3 linked regions of the Struthio camelus genome follow. The protein of the gene in region 2 interacts with the protein of the main gene of each other region in a pairwise test. Links are inferred from orthologs where the notes say so. Each region holds a gene or a part of one and is shown on either strand. Other genes may lie near its edges.

Evidence for each region.
Region 1: the proteins of C23H1orf216 (region 2) and MYRIP interact in binary tests that used the Homo sapiens proteins (3 or more experiments, as listed by UniProt). The two-hybrid records come from large-scale screens. The link is inferred for Struthio camelus from reciprocal best matches to the Homo sapiens genes C1orf216 and MYRIP.
Region 3: the proteins of C23H1orf216 (region 2) and PSMC6 interact in binary tests that used the Homo sapiens proteins (3 or more experiments, as listed by UniProt). The two-hybrid records come from large-scale screens. The link is inferred for Struthio camelus from reciprocal best matches to the Homo sapiens genes C1orf216 and PSMC6.

The regions. Positions count from the first base shown.
Region 1 is NC_090943.1:52,216,309-52,222,260, forward strand, and holds the start of MYRIP (rab effector MyRIP), read right to left. Parts: upstream 3,399-5,952; 5' UTR 3,092-3,398; intron 1-3,091. UniProt on the Homo sapiens protein: Rab effector protein involved in melanosome transport. Serves as link between melanosome-bound RAB27A and the motor proteins MYO5A and MYO7A. May link RAB27A-containing vesicles to actin filaments. Functions as a protein kinase A-anchoring protein (AKAP).
Region 2 is NC_090964.1:9,983,035-9,988,986, forward strand, and holds the start of C23H1orf216 (UPF0500 protein C1orf216 homolog), read right to left. Parts: upstream 3,178-5,952; 5' UTR 3,067-3,177; intron 1,636-3,066; 5' UTR 1,620-1,635; coding exon 759-1,619; 3' UTR 1-758.
Region 3 is NC_090946.1:80,413,870-80,419,821, reverse strand, and holds the start of PSMC6 (26S proteasome regulatory subunit 10B), read left to right. Parts: upstream 1-1,754; 5' UTR 1,755-1,796; coding exon 1,797-1,923; intron 1,924-2,311; coding exon 2,312-2,391; intron 2,392-2,739; coding exon 2,740-2,779; intron 2,780-2,974; coding exon 2,975-3,027; intron 3,028-5,952. UniProt on the Homo sapiens protein: Component of the 26S proteasome, a multiprotein complex involved in the ATP-dependent degradation of ubiquitinated proteins.

The sequences.
Region 1 (5,952 bases), on a different chromosome or scaffold from region 2:
AACTTAATGCATACTGGCCTGGAAATTTAATGTGTTCCTGTTCCCAGAATAGTACCCACGAGATCTAAAAACCTGTCATTTCAATAATGCTGACATTAGCATTCGACCAGTCAAAAAAGGACCACTGTGGTCCTTTTACTTTGTTCATCTAAGCCAATTCTGCTAGGTAGTTCATTAAACAGTTTTTCGCAACAGTGTTTTTAGATACTGTGTCCTAAAAATATAAGATGATGTTCATTTGCTCAAAATGCAGTTTTAAAAAGTGCTGCACAGTATTTTCCTATAAGCATTCTTCAAAAAAGAGGATAATACTTAAATTTCTACTGAAAATGAAAGGCAAAGCGATAACAAACAGGTCACAATCACTAGCCTTCACCATATGAAAGGCAGATCTTGCTAGTGTGTTAGCCACATATAAGGGGTCAAACTCTGTGTAAATTCACATAAAGTTGAGATATGCATCTTTGCTTAATCTCACAAAATTAAACTATGGCTTGAAGTCTTTCCAAATTACACTGTATTTAGTCCTTCTACAAAATTCCCCATCTAAATTTAATCCCGTTTTTGCTGCAGATAGCCCATTTGAGCAATAAGATGGTTTGCTTCCTTCCACGTCAAAGTATAACACACAGTTTATCTTCCTCTCCCCTTGAATCCAATAAGCTTCTTTCAAAACAAAGAATATAAGAAACTCGGCATTGGGAAAGGTTTAAAGCACACTTTAAACAGTATCTTCTGGATGTCAGTGGTTCACAAGTAAACCAGAGACCTCTACTATCTCTAAGAATCTACTTAGTTACTAACCTAGCGAGATCCAAAAGGAAAGTGAACAAAATACTCCATGGAAAGTTGCATTAGTCCACTCAAACGCATTAAGTTTTCTCAAAGAGAAGAATTCTCCCTACGGTTTTCACGGATCTCTGTTTGACTCATTTCTTTCAACTCATCCAACTTTCCAAGGCCAAGTTAAAGTGGTTTATACTGCCAAGCAGTAGTTTCTACTCTGATCACAATAGGGTATATTAATGTTGGCAGCAATATAAAGGAGCCGTATTTTCATACAGATGTACTGTTTATGAACAATAGCGTATTTGTCATGTACTGCTTTTCTTCAGCATTAGCCATGCATGGTTTAGCGAATTTTGTTTTGTTTAAGTACAAGTTCTTCAAGCGTTCTGTTTACTGCAGACATTAAGCAAGAAGGATGAATTCCCACTCGGGTACACCCTAAATAACCCAAAAAGGCTGGTTTAGCAATCGATTGTCAGCATGCTCAACTGTATCAATCATATTACAGTGGAAGCAAGAAACTAAATCAAGAAAAGTAGTAAAAGTTTTAGCCTTAGTTTTGTTTTGCTCTGGAGTGTCATTTTGCATCACTCCTGGAGAGCCCTGGTTAGGATGAAGACAGTCTGTAAAAAAAGCATTAATCTGTCTGAAAGAGTTTTGTATCACAATGCTCAGAAACAGTTTCAAGATGCAGTATTGTCATAGGGGGCAGTGCTCTTCTTGAAGTATCTCTTATTGTGGTGGCGGGGGGGGGGACCGGGATGAAATTGGCTTCTAGGAGTTCTCATACGCAATTAATACATCACAACTGTTGTAAATTCTACTTTCCTGTTCATAACTGACATATGCATTGTAATAAGCTAAAAAACTCCACAGGAAGGCTGTAGAATTGCTGTGTATTTTTTGGACGCTTGGGCATAAGGCATCAGTTCACATGCCCTGATCCAATCCAGTACCTGAATAATAATGGTTACAGTGGCAATTTGAAGGATTAATTACTACAGTATTTCGTGTTTTACAGGGCTCTGTCCACTTTCACAAGCTAGAAGCAGCCAGCAAGCACTACTGTTTGACAGTTACCTGCAGGGGGAGAGTCAGTGGTCTCAACGCAACTTGCAGAGAATTGCTACCACCATTAACGGGCTACTAAAAGAAACTCTTAAACAAATTAAAAAAAAAAAAACTTTCCACCTGATGACACTTCTTTCAAAGCCACAAAAGTGTTTGATAATATTAAATATGAAAACTAAACTCTCTTTCCATCCTTTCTCTCTCTAACCTTCCAGAAAAGGATTGTCAGAAGAACGAGGAAAACCCTCTATTTCCAAAATCCTTACTGTAGCTGTTCTAAAAAAACTCCAGGCTCCAAACAGGTATCCACATTTTCAGAAATAGAGGAAATAGTAAAACGGTCAATATACAGTAAAAAAAATTGTCAATACAGGTTGCTAGATAGCATTAACTGGAAAGGGAGGCACATGCACTCTAAAGCATTTTGTGAGCTAATTTGATTACACTAACTTAAAACATAATGCAAACCACAGCATACAACTCAGTCCTACTTAATTAGATTTCCTAAGACAAGTCAGCCTCAACCATATGGTATTTTCCCCAGAAGTTACAATAAACTGACCTTGATACTAGGAAAACGCATGCTCCTCCGTAAGAGGAATAAATTAAAAGAGCGGAGCCGTGTGATGTTCGCACGGAAAGAAGGCAGAGGCAGCACCACAGAAACGCTATATCGAAACCTTCGGTATTCTCAGAGAAGTTAATCAAGAGTGAAATACTCCATTAGAAAATAATAATAATAATAATAAAGCACTGCAGCGACAGGGCTTGAACAATCAGGCTGATCGCAGGGAGCTACCAAGCTATCTAGGCACCTAGCTGGCAATGAAAATAAGCCTAGCACTTCCCTACGAAGGCATCAAGTCAGTGGGAAGTCGCGACCTGCCTCAGCCCCTCACGCCGCTGTCCCTAAGGGCGGGCGGGGGCCGAGGGCGCCGCCGCCAACGGCCGCCGCCAACGGCCGCGGGACACGGCGCCCGCAGCCCGCCCGGCGCCGCTCCCGCCCGCCGCACACACGCTCCTCCCGCCGCCCCGGAGCAGCGGAGCGGGCGCCGGGCTGCCCCGGGCTCGCTCGCCACACGACCGAGCCCAGACCGGCCCCCATCCCCGCCCGCCGCGCTGCGGCGGGGGCCCTGCCGCAGCCACCCCCCCGGCACGGCCCCGCCGCGGGTGACTCTCCCCCCCGCCGCGTCCCAGCCGGCGGCGGCCGCGCCCCCCGGGCCGTACTCACCCGCGGCCGAAGGCGAGGGCTGCACCAAAACGGAAGGAGGGCAGCAACTCCCCCGCGCTGGGCAGACGGGCAGAGCCACCGCCGGCGGCTGCGGCCGAGCCCGCCCGCCGCTCATTCAGGGCACGGGGGCTGCAGCCGGCCGGCCCGCCCCAAACCGCGCTGCGCCGCGCCGGCCCCTGCCCGCGGCCGGCCACCTGCGCCGAGCTGGCGGCACAGCAGGTGCCTCGCTCCCGCTCCGCGACAGCCCAGAGCCGAGTCTTGTCTCGTCTTGTCACGTCCTGCCTGCTCCGCTCCGCTCCGCTCCGCGCCTCTCCTCCCCGCCGGACGCGCCACCGGGCTGCTGCGGCGGTGGCGGCGGCGCCAGCTCCCGCCGCGCCCCCAGCCGCGCACCGGCACCTGGCCGGGCGCCGCCGGCCAATCGGCGCGGAGGGGCGGGGCCAAGGGCGGCCGAGCGGGGAGCAGGGGCGGTGCGGGGCGGTGCGGTGCGCGAGGGCAGCCTTGCCCGCCCGCCCGCTCGCGGTGGAGGGGGGTGGGCAGCGCCGAGCCGCGCCGCTGCCCCAGTCGGTCGGGAGCGGGGACGAGTGCTGACGCAGCGAGCCTGCTGCCACGGACCGGAGAGGAGGGTCGGACCCGGCTCGGCCCGGCCCGGCCCCGGGAGCCCCTTGGATGCGGGTGCGGCTTCGGTGGAGAGCTGCGTCACGGCCGCGGCCCCGCGTGCCGGGCGGCCGTTGGGGCTGAGGCGGCCGTTGGCCGTTAGCGCAACGAAGCCGGCCGGGGAGAACACCCGGAAAGCGGGTTTTTGGGTTTTTTTTTGTCCTCCCCCCTTCCTCTTCCATTTCATTTTTCTAGCTAGTGGTATGAAGAGGAGCCCAAATGTTTATCACGGTGTCAGTCCTCTCCCTGGTGGCACTGCCGTGGCGAGTCAACTGGAACAGGGCTCTGCCTGTTAAACTAACAGTAGCCCGGAGGAAAGGATCGTTGCAGGTTCAGGGGAGGCTGCAGGAGGGAGAAAAGACTCTTCAACATGGCCTGGCCATGCCCATTTTAGTCACCTGGATGATGTAGGCCGTACGTGCTGCTTATGAAATGGATTTGTGATGGATCCTGCAATCTCAGAATAATGGCAGTAATAAGGGCTAATTTGCTGCATCATTAGACAGGTGTAGATCCAATTACTATGCCTTTACTTGTTTAAATATTTGTAAATCCTTAGTGCTCGTTCCTTAAAAAAGCATTTGGTGTGGCATACCCTCGCCTCTATGTATTGCCCATATAAAAACAGTAACGAGAATCCCTCCAACTCTGGAGGGTGCCCGCGGGTCAGCAGTGGCAATGGCCCTGCTATGGCTTAGCATGGCATCTTAAAGGATACCTAATTATGTCACAAACATACATTCAAAATCTTTACAAAGCAGCATTGGCAGCTCGTCCTTGAAGAAGATGCTCGTTCTCCAGATAAAGCAGAGAAACAAATAGATGCTGCCAGGCATACTTGTTTGAGTCTTACAGTGGATACCGTATGCAGGCCATGTGTGGAGGTGTCTCCTAAAGGAAAAGGAGACCAGTTGGTACAAACTGACAAGAATTAGTGCCATATGGATTCAGAGCACTGGATAATCATAATGAAGGTGTGGCCTGGTCATTCATTCACATGATCAGTGAGTCACCGCTGTAATTTCACCATGCTTTTTATACATCCTGTATCACTGCAGATTGTACTGTATCAGACTAATTACTTTTCCTACGGTGTTATTTTTCATCCCTGTTTTTCATGCTTGTTTAACTTTATTTTAAAATAGCTGCAGCTGTTCACTGCAAGGTACATTTTTATTTGATCTTAGTTGAAGTGCTTTGTCAAGGCAGATGTATTCAGTAAATCTTGGCAGGTTTTCAAGGAAAATATTTTCTAGGAGAATATTTTTGTTTACATTAATTTTATGGTATTACAAATAAAGTAGTTTATCAAACATTTAGTTCTATGCTAATCTACACTTGTCTGTGTTACTAAAATGGGTACCAATCTGTGAGGTAGACACCAAATTTATTTCAAAGGTGTGTGTAAAAAAAAGATTTACCAAATATTCTTCATCAAATTGTTTGTATTTCCCAAACGTACACTTACCCACATACATACTTGGGTATTTCCTAAATAGAAACACTTGTTACTTCTTTAAATAAAAATTACAGAAAGAACCAATCATCTTCAACAGTAGCATTTTTCAAGTGCAACATGACATGGCAACAAATCATCCACTAACTAAAACTAAAGGTCACTCATTGCCTCTATTAGAAGAGTAATCAATAACATGCCCCCAGCATTTTTAATGACTGAAAAAATACCTGAGCAGAAATCAATCTTCAATCTTCTAGCTGAATTACTGAAAGAAGAATATGTTTTAAAATCAGGCATCATTATGAATTAAATATAATGTTTATGATTACACAACCATCAGATCAAACAGGTAGAATTGTGCCATCACTCCTCATACACAAGTTAATAAGCTAATTTCAGGCTGAATTCAGGAATAATTTTTCACCTTTGCTTGAATATTCTGCAGCTAGGTAAATGGATATTTTTTCCTTTTTTTTTTACATGATATTTCATGTTCAGCTCCGTGGGAGATGAAATGTTGGACTATAGGCTCCTTTGTTCCATGCCAGTATAGTAATTGGTATGTTTTTACTATGCAACATTACTCCATGGGGAAGGTATTAACTTATACCACACTTAAACAGCCGTTAGCAAATGAAAGAGTACAACTAGGAGAGGGAAAAGAGAAACAACAAAGCACAAGTGAGGAATGGTAATAGCCTTGGGGGTAGTACACTGGACTTTTATATTTGTCTGCATTTCAGATCTG
Region 2 (5,952 bases):
TTGGGGGAGGGTTACTGGTACTAGCAGGAGGGAAGAGACAAGTGGGAGAAGAAGGAATTTTTTCAAAGTGCCCTAATTAACTTGGTGGCCTTGGCAGTGCCCTGGCCACGTCCAGCTGCTGCCCAGGAGCAGCTGGGGCCATCCCAGGACTTCCTTGCCCAGGCTCCAGCCTGGGGATGGGTCTTCCTAGACAACCCTTCCTGAGGTGGCAGAGCTACAGCAAAGGGATGAAATGAACTCCTATTTTAAATGCTCAAACAAAGAACGCTAATTTAGATTTAAAAGATGAGTCTCAGCATCGCAGAGTCAGCAAATCCGGGTGCATCGAGGTCCCCAGCGCAGTGTTGCACAAGCCCCTAGACCTAGCGGCACACAGGGCGGAGGACCCCGAGCTGCAGCTGGTCGGTGCAGCAGCCAAACAGCTGGTACTTGCCCGTCAGCAGCTGGGTGGAAAAGGAAGTGTTGGAGAAGTTGAGATGAAAAGTCATTAAAAAGGGTCCTGTAACGTCGGAAGGACCATGTGCTGCCAGGGCCCATGGAAACGCTGGGTGGCATCTGCTGTGCAGTGTCTTCATGCTTCATGGAAACCGGGACAGGGAGAGGCCACAGGAGCCCACAGCTCGCATCTTTATAAAGCCTCCCAAGCAAAACCTGGCCCCGGGCCCCATCGCGGAGGGCAAGCACCAGGAGACGCTCCTTGCGGCCGGGGAGAGGGGAGCGGTGTGAATCCCAGAAGAGATGGCGCGGGGCTGCGGGGCTCACAGCCCGGGGCAGCCCGCGTCGCCGGGGCACGCCAGGCCTTGCTGGATGTAGCGGATGAGCTCCTTGCGGTTGTCCAGGATGGTGTCGAAGCTCTCCTGCAGCCGGTTCTGCTGGTCCACGACCTTCTGCTGGAGGCCGTGGATCCAGCGCAGCAGTGCCAAGCGCCGATACATCACCAGCTGGATGTGGTGCTTCTCCTTCTCGCGCTCCTTGAACTTCTCCTTGTCCTGGATGTGCTGGAAGGCCTCCGCCAGCGCTGGGAAGAGGGTGTCTGGGTTAGGGCAGGTCTCCGTCTCGGCGTCGGCCACCCCAGGCTCTGACGGGCTCTTCTGGATGTGGGCAGCGGCGGGAGGCTCCCAGGTGCTCCCGGAGACGCTGTCGGGGCTGTCGATGCTGAGGGAGCTGCTGGCGTAGCCGTTGTCCTCCGCGGGGGAGCTCAGGGGCTTCCTGCACTCCTTGGCTGTGTCCTCCGTGGCCGCTTTCTCGTCCCCCGGCCCGCCGACCTCCGCTCCCTCGGGGGGGCTCCGCACACCCGCGCCCAGACACACTTGGTCTCCTTTCAGGCTCTGGGCGGCATCCCTAAGCCTGCCCTGAACCATCTGTCTCTGCATTAATAACAGCAGATTATCCGATGGATTTGTCATGTTTTCGCTCTGGCTGGAGCCTTCGTCCGTTCTGGTCCCCGGCGCTGGCTGGCTCCAGTTCTCGTTGCGGTCGTACACCCCCCCCACGAAGTTGAAATTGGTGTCTTGCCTGCGCTCCCCGTCCCCCAGGAAGGCTGTGCCCAGCGTGGGGTCTCGCTGGCCCTCGTGGAAGGGGGCGTTCGAGGCGAGGTCGGGCTGGCAAACAGCAAACATCTTCCTGGCCTCCTGCCTGCAAAAGAGACCCCGAGATGTGATGGCCGCGGAGGGAGCTCTTCCCCCAGCTGGGGCAGCCAGGCCTCCAAGGCCGTGCGGCGGCACGCGGGTTCGCCGGCCGGCGTGACCAGAGCTGGCTGTTGAGCTATGGCAAGAGAAAATAGTCTCTTACTTTATTTGCCTTTCTTTAACCCTGATGAACCCACCTGCTCGAGGCAGAAGGGCTTTTCCCTCTCCCTGCTGCTGCTCTCAGCGTGCCCCCAGGCTAGAAACCCCAAGTCTTCCCAGGGCAAATTCTCATGCGACGCGGAAGCGAGGAGCCCGGCCTTGGGGGCAGTCACCCGCCACCATTTCTCTGCTCCCTGTGAACTCTAGCCCGAAACCAAGCTTTTACGGCTTCCTTTTTGTGATCGTTACGGGGCATTGCAGGGAGCAGGCACGCCGCCGACACGCTCTCCTCCAGCAGCGGCTTGTGTTGCATGCAATTATTTCTGCACCTATAGAGGCTTGTTTGGAAGGAGCTGCTTCTCCAACAGCAATAAAATCTGCTGTGAAGCATTGGCATTGCTTGGTAAATCAGGGACCCGAGCACAGTCTGCTTTGACCTGGGGTGTTCCCAGGGCTGGGCAGCAGTGTCGGGCACCCCTCGGTGGATTTTGGCCATGGGATGTGCCAGATCCACCGGGACCCAGCTGACCCGGTGGGGCCCCATCTCGGAGCATGCAGGGATCCTCCTCCCCCCAGGTCTGGTGGAGGAGAAAAGCCTTCCAGAAACTGCACGTCGCAGGATTAAAAACCATGTCCCTCTTTGGAGACGGCCTGTCCTGCCTTTCGGGGTGGCTGCAGAGCCCCCAGGCCCCCTCCCGCCGTCCCGGCTAGGGGCCGGGGGGAAGGAGCAGCCGTCAGTGCCTCTGCCCGCAGCCACGGCGGCGCCTGGGTGCGCTCAGCTCTGCCACCGGAGGAAGAAAACGCAAGGGAGGAAAAAGAAAAAAACCCGCAGCAGGGAGAGGGCTCTAGCGCACGCAGTAGCGCAGCCAGGGAAGGGGAGGACGGCGGCACAGCTGCGATCAGGACTGTGAGACCGCAGAATTCGCGGCCCCAGGCTGGGCCGGCGGGGACGACCCCGCCGCCCGCCCCGCGCTGCCCGCTGCCGCCCGCCAGGGAGAGCGGAGCGAGCGCGTGTGCGCGCACACGGGCACGCAGCCCGGCAAGCGCGGGGGGCTCGGGTGTCCGCGCCGCGCGGGGACACGGCGGCTGCGGTGATGGGGGGGGGGGGGTTTCTCGCTGATCTTTGCAAGGCTGCAGCCGTCAGCGAGCGAAAGGAGCAGCCTCCATCAGAGGGAGCCGAACGTGGCACCCGGCTGCCGTGCCCAGCCCACGCGCCGACCCGCCGCCGGCCGCCGCGGCCCCCGCCGGCCACGGCCGCCCCCTCGCAGCACGCACTCACCGCCGGGGCCCGGCGCGGGCGGGAGGCAGGCAGAGCGCTCGGGCTGCACCTCCGGCCGCCGCCGCTGCAGCTCAGCCGGCGAGGACGGAAATGGTCCCTCGCAGGGCAGCAGGAAAGCGTCATGCGCTGCACGCTTCCTCCGGCGCGCCGTGCCGCCCGGCCGCAGGCCTGCAGCCCGGCCGCCGCTCGCGCCTCGGCACGAGGCGGCCCGGGGCCACGCGGCCGCCCGCGACGTCCCGCCGCCCCCCGGCCGGTCTCCCGGGATGCGCCAAAAATCCTGCGGGAGAGGAGCTGCTGGGGGTGTGGGGATGCGGGACCCCCTGCAAGCAGCAGCTGCCCTGGGGACCCTGCACAGCCCCATGGGGACCCTGCCAGCCCTATGGGGACCCTGCACAGCCCCATGGGGACCCGGCCATCCCCCTGGGGACCCTGACAGCCCCCTGGGGAACCTGCACAGCCCCCTGGGGACCCGGCCATCCCCCTGGGGACCCTGACAGCCCTATGGGGACCCTGCACAGCCCCATGGGGACCCTGCCAGCCCTATGGGGACCCTGCACAGCCCCATGGGGACCCGGCCATCCCCCTGGGGACCCTGCCAGCCCCCTGGGGAACCTGCACAGCCCCCTGGGGACCCGGCCATCCCCCTGGGGACCCTGACAGCCCTATGGGGACCCTGCCAGCCCCCTGGGGACCCTGCCAGCCCCATGGGGACCCTGCCAGCCCTCTGGGGACCCTGCACAGCCCCCTGGGGACCCGGCCATCCCCCTGGGGACCCTGCCAGCCCTCTGGGGACCCTGCACAGCCCCCTGGGGACCCGGCCAGCCCTCTGGGGACCCTGCACAGCCCCATGGGGACCCTGCCAGCCCCCTGGGGACCCTGCACAGCCCTCTGGGGACCCTGCACAGCCCCGTGAGGACCCTGCCAGCCCCCTGGGGACCCGGCCAGCCCTCTGGGGACCCTGCACAGCCCCATGGGGACCCTGCCAGCCCCCTGGGGACCCTGCACAGCCCTCTGGGGACCCTGCACAGCCCCGTGAGGACCCTGTCAGCCCCCTGGGGACCTGGCCAGCCCCCTGGGGAACCTGCACAGCCCCTGGGGACCCTGCCAGCCCTATGAGGACCCTGCACAGCCCCTGGGGACCCCACACAGCCCCATGGGGACCCTGCCAGCCTTTTGGGGACCCTGCCAGCTCCCTTAGGACCCTGCACAGCCCCTTGGGGACCCTGCTTACCCCATGGGGACCCTGTACAGCCCGATGGGGACCCCGCACAGCCCCGTGGGGACCCTGCCAGCCCCCTGGGGACCCTGCACAGCCCCTGGGGACCCCACACAGCCCCATGGGGACCCTGCTTGCCCCATGGGGTCCTTGCACAGCCCGATGGGGACCCTGCACAGACCCGTGGGGACACTGCCAGCCCTGTAGGGACCCTGCACAGCCCCTTGGGGACCCTGCACAGCCCCGTGGGGATGCTGCCAGCCCGATGGGGACCCTGCACAGCCCCGTGGGGACCCTGCCAGCCCCGTGAGGACCCTGCCAGCCCTGTAGGGACCCTGCCAGCCCTCTGGGGACCCTGACAGCCCCCTGGGGACCCTGCCAGCCCTCTGGGGACCCGGCCACCCCCATGGGGACCCTGCACAGCCCAGTAGGGACCTGGCCAGCCCCATGGGGTCCCTGCCAGCCCTCTGGGAACCCTGCCAGCCCTATGGGGACCCTGTCAGCCCCATGGAGACCTTGCACAGCCCTCTGGGAACCCTGCACAGCCCTATGGGGACCCTGCCAGCCCTCTGGGGACCCTGCACAGCCCCTTGGGGACCTTGCACAGCCCAATGGGGACCCTGTCAGCCCCTTAGGGACCCTGCACAGCCCCTTGGGGACCCCACACAGCCCCGTGAGGACCCTGCACAGCCCCTTGGGGACCCTGCCAGCCCGTGGGGAGTGCTGCGGCCTCAGGAGCTGCCCGGGCTCCATCTCCCCTCCGCCGGCTCCCCGCGGGGCGGCGGGCACAGCGGCGCCTCGCTCTCAAAGGGACCTTTATTCCCCACGTGGCGACCCGGGGTGTCTGCGAGCTCCGAAACGAAAAGCCGCAGCAACATCAGACGGCTCGCAGGGGCGGCGGGCCGGGCGAGCGGGGTCACATGCGGCACCACGAGCGGCGCGCGGCGCCGGCGGGGCGAGGGGTCATCGCTCCCTCTTCCTCCACCGCGCTGCAAAGCTTCGGCTGCGCGGTAACGGCTGCAGTAACGATAACTAGGCTCTTCCAGCTTGCCGTCCGTCCAGCGGGCCACCGGCCACCGCGCGCCGCCGGCTCCGCGCGGCTCCCGCCCCCGGCAGCAGGGACCGCGGCCCGGGCACGGCGCGGGCTGCACGAGATTAGAAAAAAGTTATACTAACTCTCATCACAGAAGGAAGCGAGAGTCCAACTCGGACCCTTCCGTGAAGGGGCGGCAAAGGTGAAGCGGCTGGGCAGGCGGCCGGCTCGGCTTTGCCCCGCTCGCCGCGCAGCTCCCCGCGGCAGCCTCGCCGTAGCCCTTTGCTGTGCGTGGGTTTGTTCCCACGTGGCCGGCTCACGGCTCAGCCGCGCACCCCGCGACTCTCTCTGGCCGACTGGGACCAGAGCACGTTTGCTGCTTGCACCGGCAACAACCCCACGGCGCTGGAAGCCCAACCTCAGCCCCGGCCGGCCGGCCCCACAGCACGAAGCCGGCTGCCTCTTTGCAGCCGCCGTGGCCGGGGCGGCGGGAGCGGCGGGGAGCGGGAGCTGCGCCGGCGGCGGGACCGGCTCCCCCTGCCCGCGCGGCCCGGCCGAGCGAGCGGCCGGCCACCTGCTTCTCATCTGCTGTGTCCCCGCTCCAAAGCGATGCAACGAGCCACGGGCGCGCGGGGCC
Region 3 (5,952 bases), on a different chromosome or scaffold from region 2:
GGACGAGAGGCGAGGGCAGCGCCGGTCGGCGCAGGACGTGGCTCACGTGTACCGGCCTCAGGTGGCCCCGTCCTGACTCAGCGCCCGCAAACGGGATCGGCTCCGTGAAAGGCGGGCCGGTAGCCCCGATCCGTACAGGTTTGCCGGGCAGCGGGAGTCAGGCGCCCTCTCGGGCTGCAGGTCTGGAGCTCGGTGCCTGCTTTCGGATCCGCGCTCCCCTTCAGGCGCGCACAGGGGGCCTGTTTTGCTTGGCCGAGATGACGATCCGTTGCCACGTATCTCAGAGCGTGTGGCTGGCTCTTCATCCTGCGCTCAGACTACAGGAACCACTTCAGGGGCTCAGTTCCTGCGGTTTAGGTCTTGCAACTGTCCCCTTGCCTGCTCCGCGAGACAGAAGATCGGGCACGGGCATGTAAGACCCCGTGCTCTAAACAGCCGCCTTCAAGGGCTCTCCCTGGCCAAGTTCTGCCTCCTATCATCACCGCACAAAGCAGAGCCCTCTCTATTTATGTGTATTTCCCCACCCCCAGAGGAAAGATTTAAGCCAGACTTGGTCCTTTTGTTTCAGTGGCCACAGTCTGTTTTCTGTAGGGCATCAAGCAAGGGGTGGTGGACCTGCTCCAGGGTTAGGGGAGATACTGCTAATGGTGCATCCCTTCCTCCCAGTCCTTCGCTGCCTGAATGGACTCTGGAGCAATCCTGAAAGAACTGCGGGAAGATGAGGGTATTTAACGTGGAGACAGAGGGAGAAGGAGCCCCGCAGCTCTGGCCGACGGCAGTTTCCTTTTTTCCCCAATGAGTTGACCAGTTTCCTCACAAAACGCATGGTGTTTTTTATCCCTATTTTCCCTGCGCAAGAAACGTTTTAGGATGCTCTGGTTTTCACTAGCCCCAGTTGCTCACTGCTTCCTGTTATCCGCACCGTGCAGTATTCCTGTAAGCAACTCAGCAAGGCCTTCATCTGTAAACTCATGCTGGTCGGCGTTAAAAAGAAAACACTGCTAATTCAACTGAGTGAATTTACAGTCTGATTGTGGATAACACAGCCCCCACTTTTCCCCTGACCGCATCAGAGATCCCCAACAGCCCAGGACATTGGAGGAAACTGCCTTTCCTCAGGAATACTAGAACGATGACCGCGGAGAGCGATTGTCTGGGGCCGTCCTAGCAGATTTAGCCCCGGGCGTAACTCAGGGCAGGCACCGGGGCGCTGCCGGGGCTGGGGAGGGAGGTTCAACGCGAGCGCTGCCCGGACCGGAGCTACCCACGCAGGGCGGGAGCAGCGGCAGGAGGCGGCCGCTGAGGCCTCCACCCCACCCCCCACCCTCCGCCGCCACCCTGGGGCGGCTTCCCCGCCGCTGCCCGCTTTTCGCGGCGCCCTGCCGCAGCCCCGTCCTGCCGGCGATGCCAGAAGAGCGAGGCTGCGTGGGTTCCGCGTGGGTTCCGCGTGGGTTCGGCCCGGCGGAGCGCGGCGGCCGCCCAACACCACACGCAAGCGCGGGCTCCGCCCGCCTGACGACGGCCGCGCGCCCCGCGCGGCGCACGCGCAGCGCCGCCCGTTGCCGCGCGCATGCGCCAGGACCGACCGTCCGCCCTTCCCCCCCTCCTTATGCGCATGCGCAGGAGCCGGCCGCCGCTTCCCCCTCCGCGGCGACAGGGGCCGCTGCGGCGCGCGGAGGCCGCGTGGGAGGGGGTGGGTGAGGTGAGGGGGGGGGGAGGGCGGTCACGGGCGCGCGCGCGCGAGGCGCGGGGGCGGGGCGGGGCGGGGCGGGCGCGCGGCCCTGCCCCCGGCGGCCATGGCCCTTCCCGGCATTCCCTATGAGCGGCGGCTGCTCATCATGGCGGACCCGAGAGACAAGGCGCTGCAGGACTACCGCAAGAAGCTCCTGGAGCACAAGGAGATCGACGGCCGCCTCAAGGAGTGTGAGCGCCGCCGCCGCTGCCGCCGCCGCGGGGGCCGCCCAGAGACTCGCCGCCGCCCGGCGCCTCAGGGGTCCGCGCCGCTGCCCGCGCTTCGTCATGGGCCTGGCCCGGGGCAGCGCTGGGGGGGGGCAACGTCCCCTAGAGGCACCGAGCCCTTTGCTTTTGGGCGTTTTAAATCCCGAAAGGGATTTTTAGCCCTCTTCTGCAGGGCCTTTTTCAGTAAGGGGAGTCCCCGAGCGGGGGCTTGTGGGGGGTGCGGGTAGCCCCCAGCCTGGCTCTGCCCGCCGCGCTTCTGCCGCTGTCAACGGGACCGCTCCTGCTGGATTGAAAGTCAGCAAAATCATGTGCTTCTCTCTCTCTCTCTCTCTCTCTTTTTTTTTTTTTTAAGTGAGGGAACAGCTGAAAGAGCTCACCAAGCAATATGAAAAGTCAGAAAACGATCTCAAGGCCTTGCAGAGCGTCGGGCAGGTATGTAAGAGAAACAAGGCCGTAGCTACGTGTGGTGGTGGTGACAGGGAACTCGCCTGGAAACAGCAGTTCTTAAGGCCGTTTGTGGCAACGGAAAGAATAAGTGGCAACAGCGTAGCTAACAGAAACAGGTGTCTTATCATCAGGGACAATCATAGGTGGAGAGGTTTTCTCTCTGTGTCTTGTTTAGCAGAGATACGTTAAAGAAATGAAAGTCCAGGTAGGCAACTTGAAGCAGGGGAAAGGATATGGAATATAACTATCAGCATTGAGATTGTGGCATATGTTAAACATTCTTTTGCGACTGTCACTTACCTGTGTGCTAATACTTCATTTATTCTTTTGCAGATTGTTGGTGAGGTTCTTAAACAGCTAACAGAAGAGAAATGTAAGTACGTTGGACAGTTATATTCTTTGAAATCTTGAAAATAAGCTTTTGCAGTTAAAACTTGGCTAAAGAGCTCAAAGAATGAGGAATTAAAAGTGCCAGTGATCTGTATGTTGGCAGAAAAACATAATATACTTTAGAAGTGTAATTGAAAGCAGTGACTAAACTTTTTTTTTTTAAATCTTCTCTCTCTAGTCATTGTGAAGGCTACAAATGGACCAAGATATGTGGTTGGCTGTCGTCGTCAGGTAGCTAGTTTATGTGAATATTCGTAAAGAGTTTCTTCTGATCTTTAATATTAACGTTGCTTTTGATCAGCTGTGCTGCTAGTGGGATTAAGTGTCGTCTTCTTTATGCTGTTTCTGGCTATATTCCACTAATATCTGTTTCCCCTTTCCCTTCCTAAGTGGTAGTGGCATAACTTCCTAGTAAGGATAAAACAGTCCAAAACACTGCATGCGTTTATCCTTCTCATCAAGTCCAAGCTCTTTCTTTCTGCCTCATTTTAAACTGTTTGAAAATTGTTTGTCATGACTTCAAACTGTCTAAGGTCTCCCCTGCTGTTTTGTGACTTTCTCTTCATTAAACGTTGCTGTTGTAGTGCAATGCTTTGCATCTAACGTTATCTCTCTATCTCTCTTTATGTAACTGTGTATTTTTCTAATGCTTTTGCACTCCAGTTGAATGAATACTTACGGTAGGTAAGGCCCCTGTTATACAAAGCTTTGTAAGCTTTGTGAGAGCTTTTTTTTTTTTTTTTTTGGTCTTTAATGATCTTACAGAAACATGGTGCTTGTAGTTTACAGGGCAATATCTCTTCTATCTACCTTAAAATCTGTGGGAATTTGACACTTCATAGAACCTTGCTTACAAAATAATCCATTTTCTGGTGCAGTCAGCAAGAACCAGCTTAGAGGTAGTCTGTGTTTTTTACTTTTCTATAAAAGTACAAGTGATATATTGCAAACACACAGAATTTAAGAATGGCTTGTTGGTTAATTGACCGTTTAATGTGGCCCATTTATAGTAATTGCAGCACCTTAGATAAGCTACTTCTTACCAAAACTGTCTATTAAATAGGAACCACAATATCTAATGAAGTTTTCTGCAGCTGCAGAGCCACTGGGGGCGTGAAAGTGATTCTCTAGTTAGGTTTTAATAGACTCATCCCTGACTTTGAGAAATGGAAGCAAAGAAAAATGTGTATGAAGTGAGGTACTCTCTGAATAGAGAGTAGCAACAGCAGGAAAGGATCGTTTCTCAGTTCTCTGAGAAGGCAGCAATATTTTATTTATTTATTTCAATGCACAAGTAAGTGTGTCTTTAACAGCGGTGACTTCTTAATCCATCTTTAATTGACCCCTTTACTGTAGGGAGAGGTAACTGCAACTGCACTTCTGATACGTCGTGATTGTAGCATATTCTCCCGTATAACAGAAATTCTGAAGTATGAGGAACTTTGCTCAATAAGAGGTGTATTGAGATGTAGTACTGGTGTTAGAGGTGGCTTTTCTTTCTCTTTTTGAGGAGAAACTGTGATCTTCACTTTTGAATTTTGAGCTGCTACTGATTCTATGCAAAGAAGGAAAACGTGTTCACAAGACTCATGTGAATGTTCTGCGGTACTCAGATTCTCCAGACTGATTTTCATATATAAAGCTAAACTGAAAAACAGTGCAATAGAACAATATAGCAAAGCTAACCAAGTATATTTAGATGATGCATGCACAATGGAGTTGTGAGGACTGTAGGAGGAGTTGAGAGGCAACAAGGAAGTGGCAGAGGTGGAGCCGGTTATGCTTGAAAGCATTAGAAAAAAAGAAGTTCTAACTATCAGAAGAATTTCTGGTGAAGGCCCACAATTATCAAAACTTAACATTGTGGCGCTTATGCGTTTTTTTCCCATGGTGTTGACTCCTGTCAGTGGATCATGTCTTTTGCAGGAAAGATGGACCTTTTCTCCTCCTTTTAGAAACAAACTATTTGGGCAGTGTGGGTGTCAAGAGTGTGTGTGTGTTTAGTATATGTGTCCAGATATCCTTGACTTCTCTTGAGCGTACTGATGTGGTGCATCTGAGCTTGTATGAAACATTCCTTACCTGCAAGAACTGCTAGTACTGAGAAGGCATAATTTTAAGCTTCATCTCTTTCGGTATCTTATAGTTCAAATTCTCTGTTTTCCTTCAGCAGAACAAACAAAATATTTTCCTGAGAATATAAGGACACTTACTCCTATGTTTGGGCATGTGATAGGTCTGATGAGGTGTTCCTGAGGCTGTACGTTGGAACAGAGAGCAGTGCTCGTGCTTGGATAAGTCTGAGCCTGTAGCGCATACTTTTGAATTTATTCTTGAATAAAAACACTCTTTGATCTTAAAAGATCCTTGATTTGATACCAGAGATTCAAAAACACATTTGCAATTGCTTTTCAAAATGATAAAATATCAAGGCAAATAACTTCCTATAGTGTCTCTCTCTGGCAGCCTAATGGAGCTAGTTATTGATGAAAGTTCTTATGCTGTGTGAGTCTGCTGAGGAAGGGGAGAAATAGTGTTTAAATTTAAACAAAACTACTTCCACATCCAAAGTGCAATTCCTAAGTAATTGAAGCTCAAATGGTTTGTCTTTGTTGTCATCTCACTGCAAAATAACTTAAAACTTTTGGACCATGTTGAATTTGATAGAATTTCAAGCTCCTACAGGCTTCTTAAGGTTAGGCAGCTAAGAAAGAGGTCCTGTCAGTGACTCCAGGGAGGGAGGAGTGACAGCTTGATCCTAAACACTGCTAGAGACTAAAGAATCCACATGGGCAAGGGATGTTAATAAATCTCCCAGTGAGGGAGATGATAAGCTTCAGGCAGAGCTTTCGGACAGCTGTAGAAATCCTCCTTGTTCAGATGCCATGTAACTGCTTGTGGTCAGTAGAGCTCAGAAGGAATAGCTTTATATTCCTTAAGTGTGAATCAAATACGTTTTAAAAAAATTACAGTGACAAGGTGATTTCTATGATCACTGTTCAAGTCTGCGTGGTATGAGAGGTGAGACTTCTAGACTGAGCTTCTTAAGAGCAAGATGAGAAATAGGAATTAGTAGTTTTAATCCCAGCAGATATTAGCAGAGGGTGCTGCAGAGCTCTGGAGTAGGACTGCTAATGGGAAGCCTTTTTAAAAAAA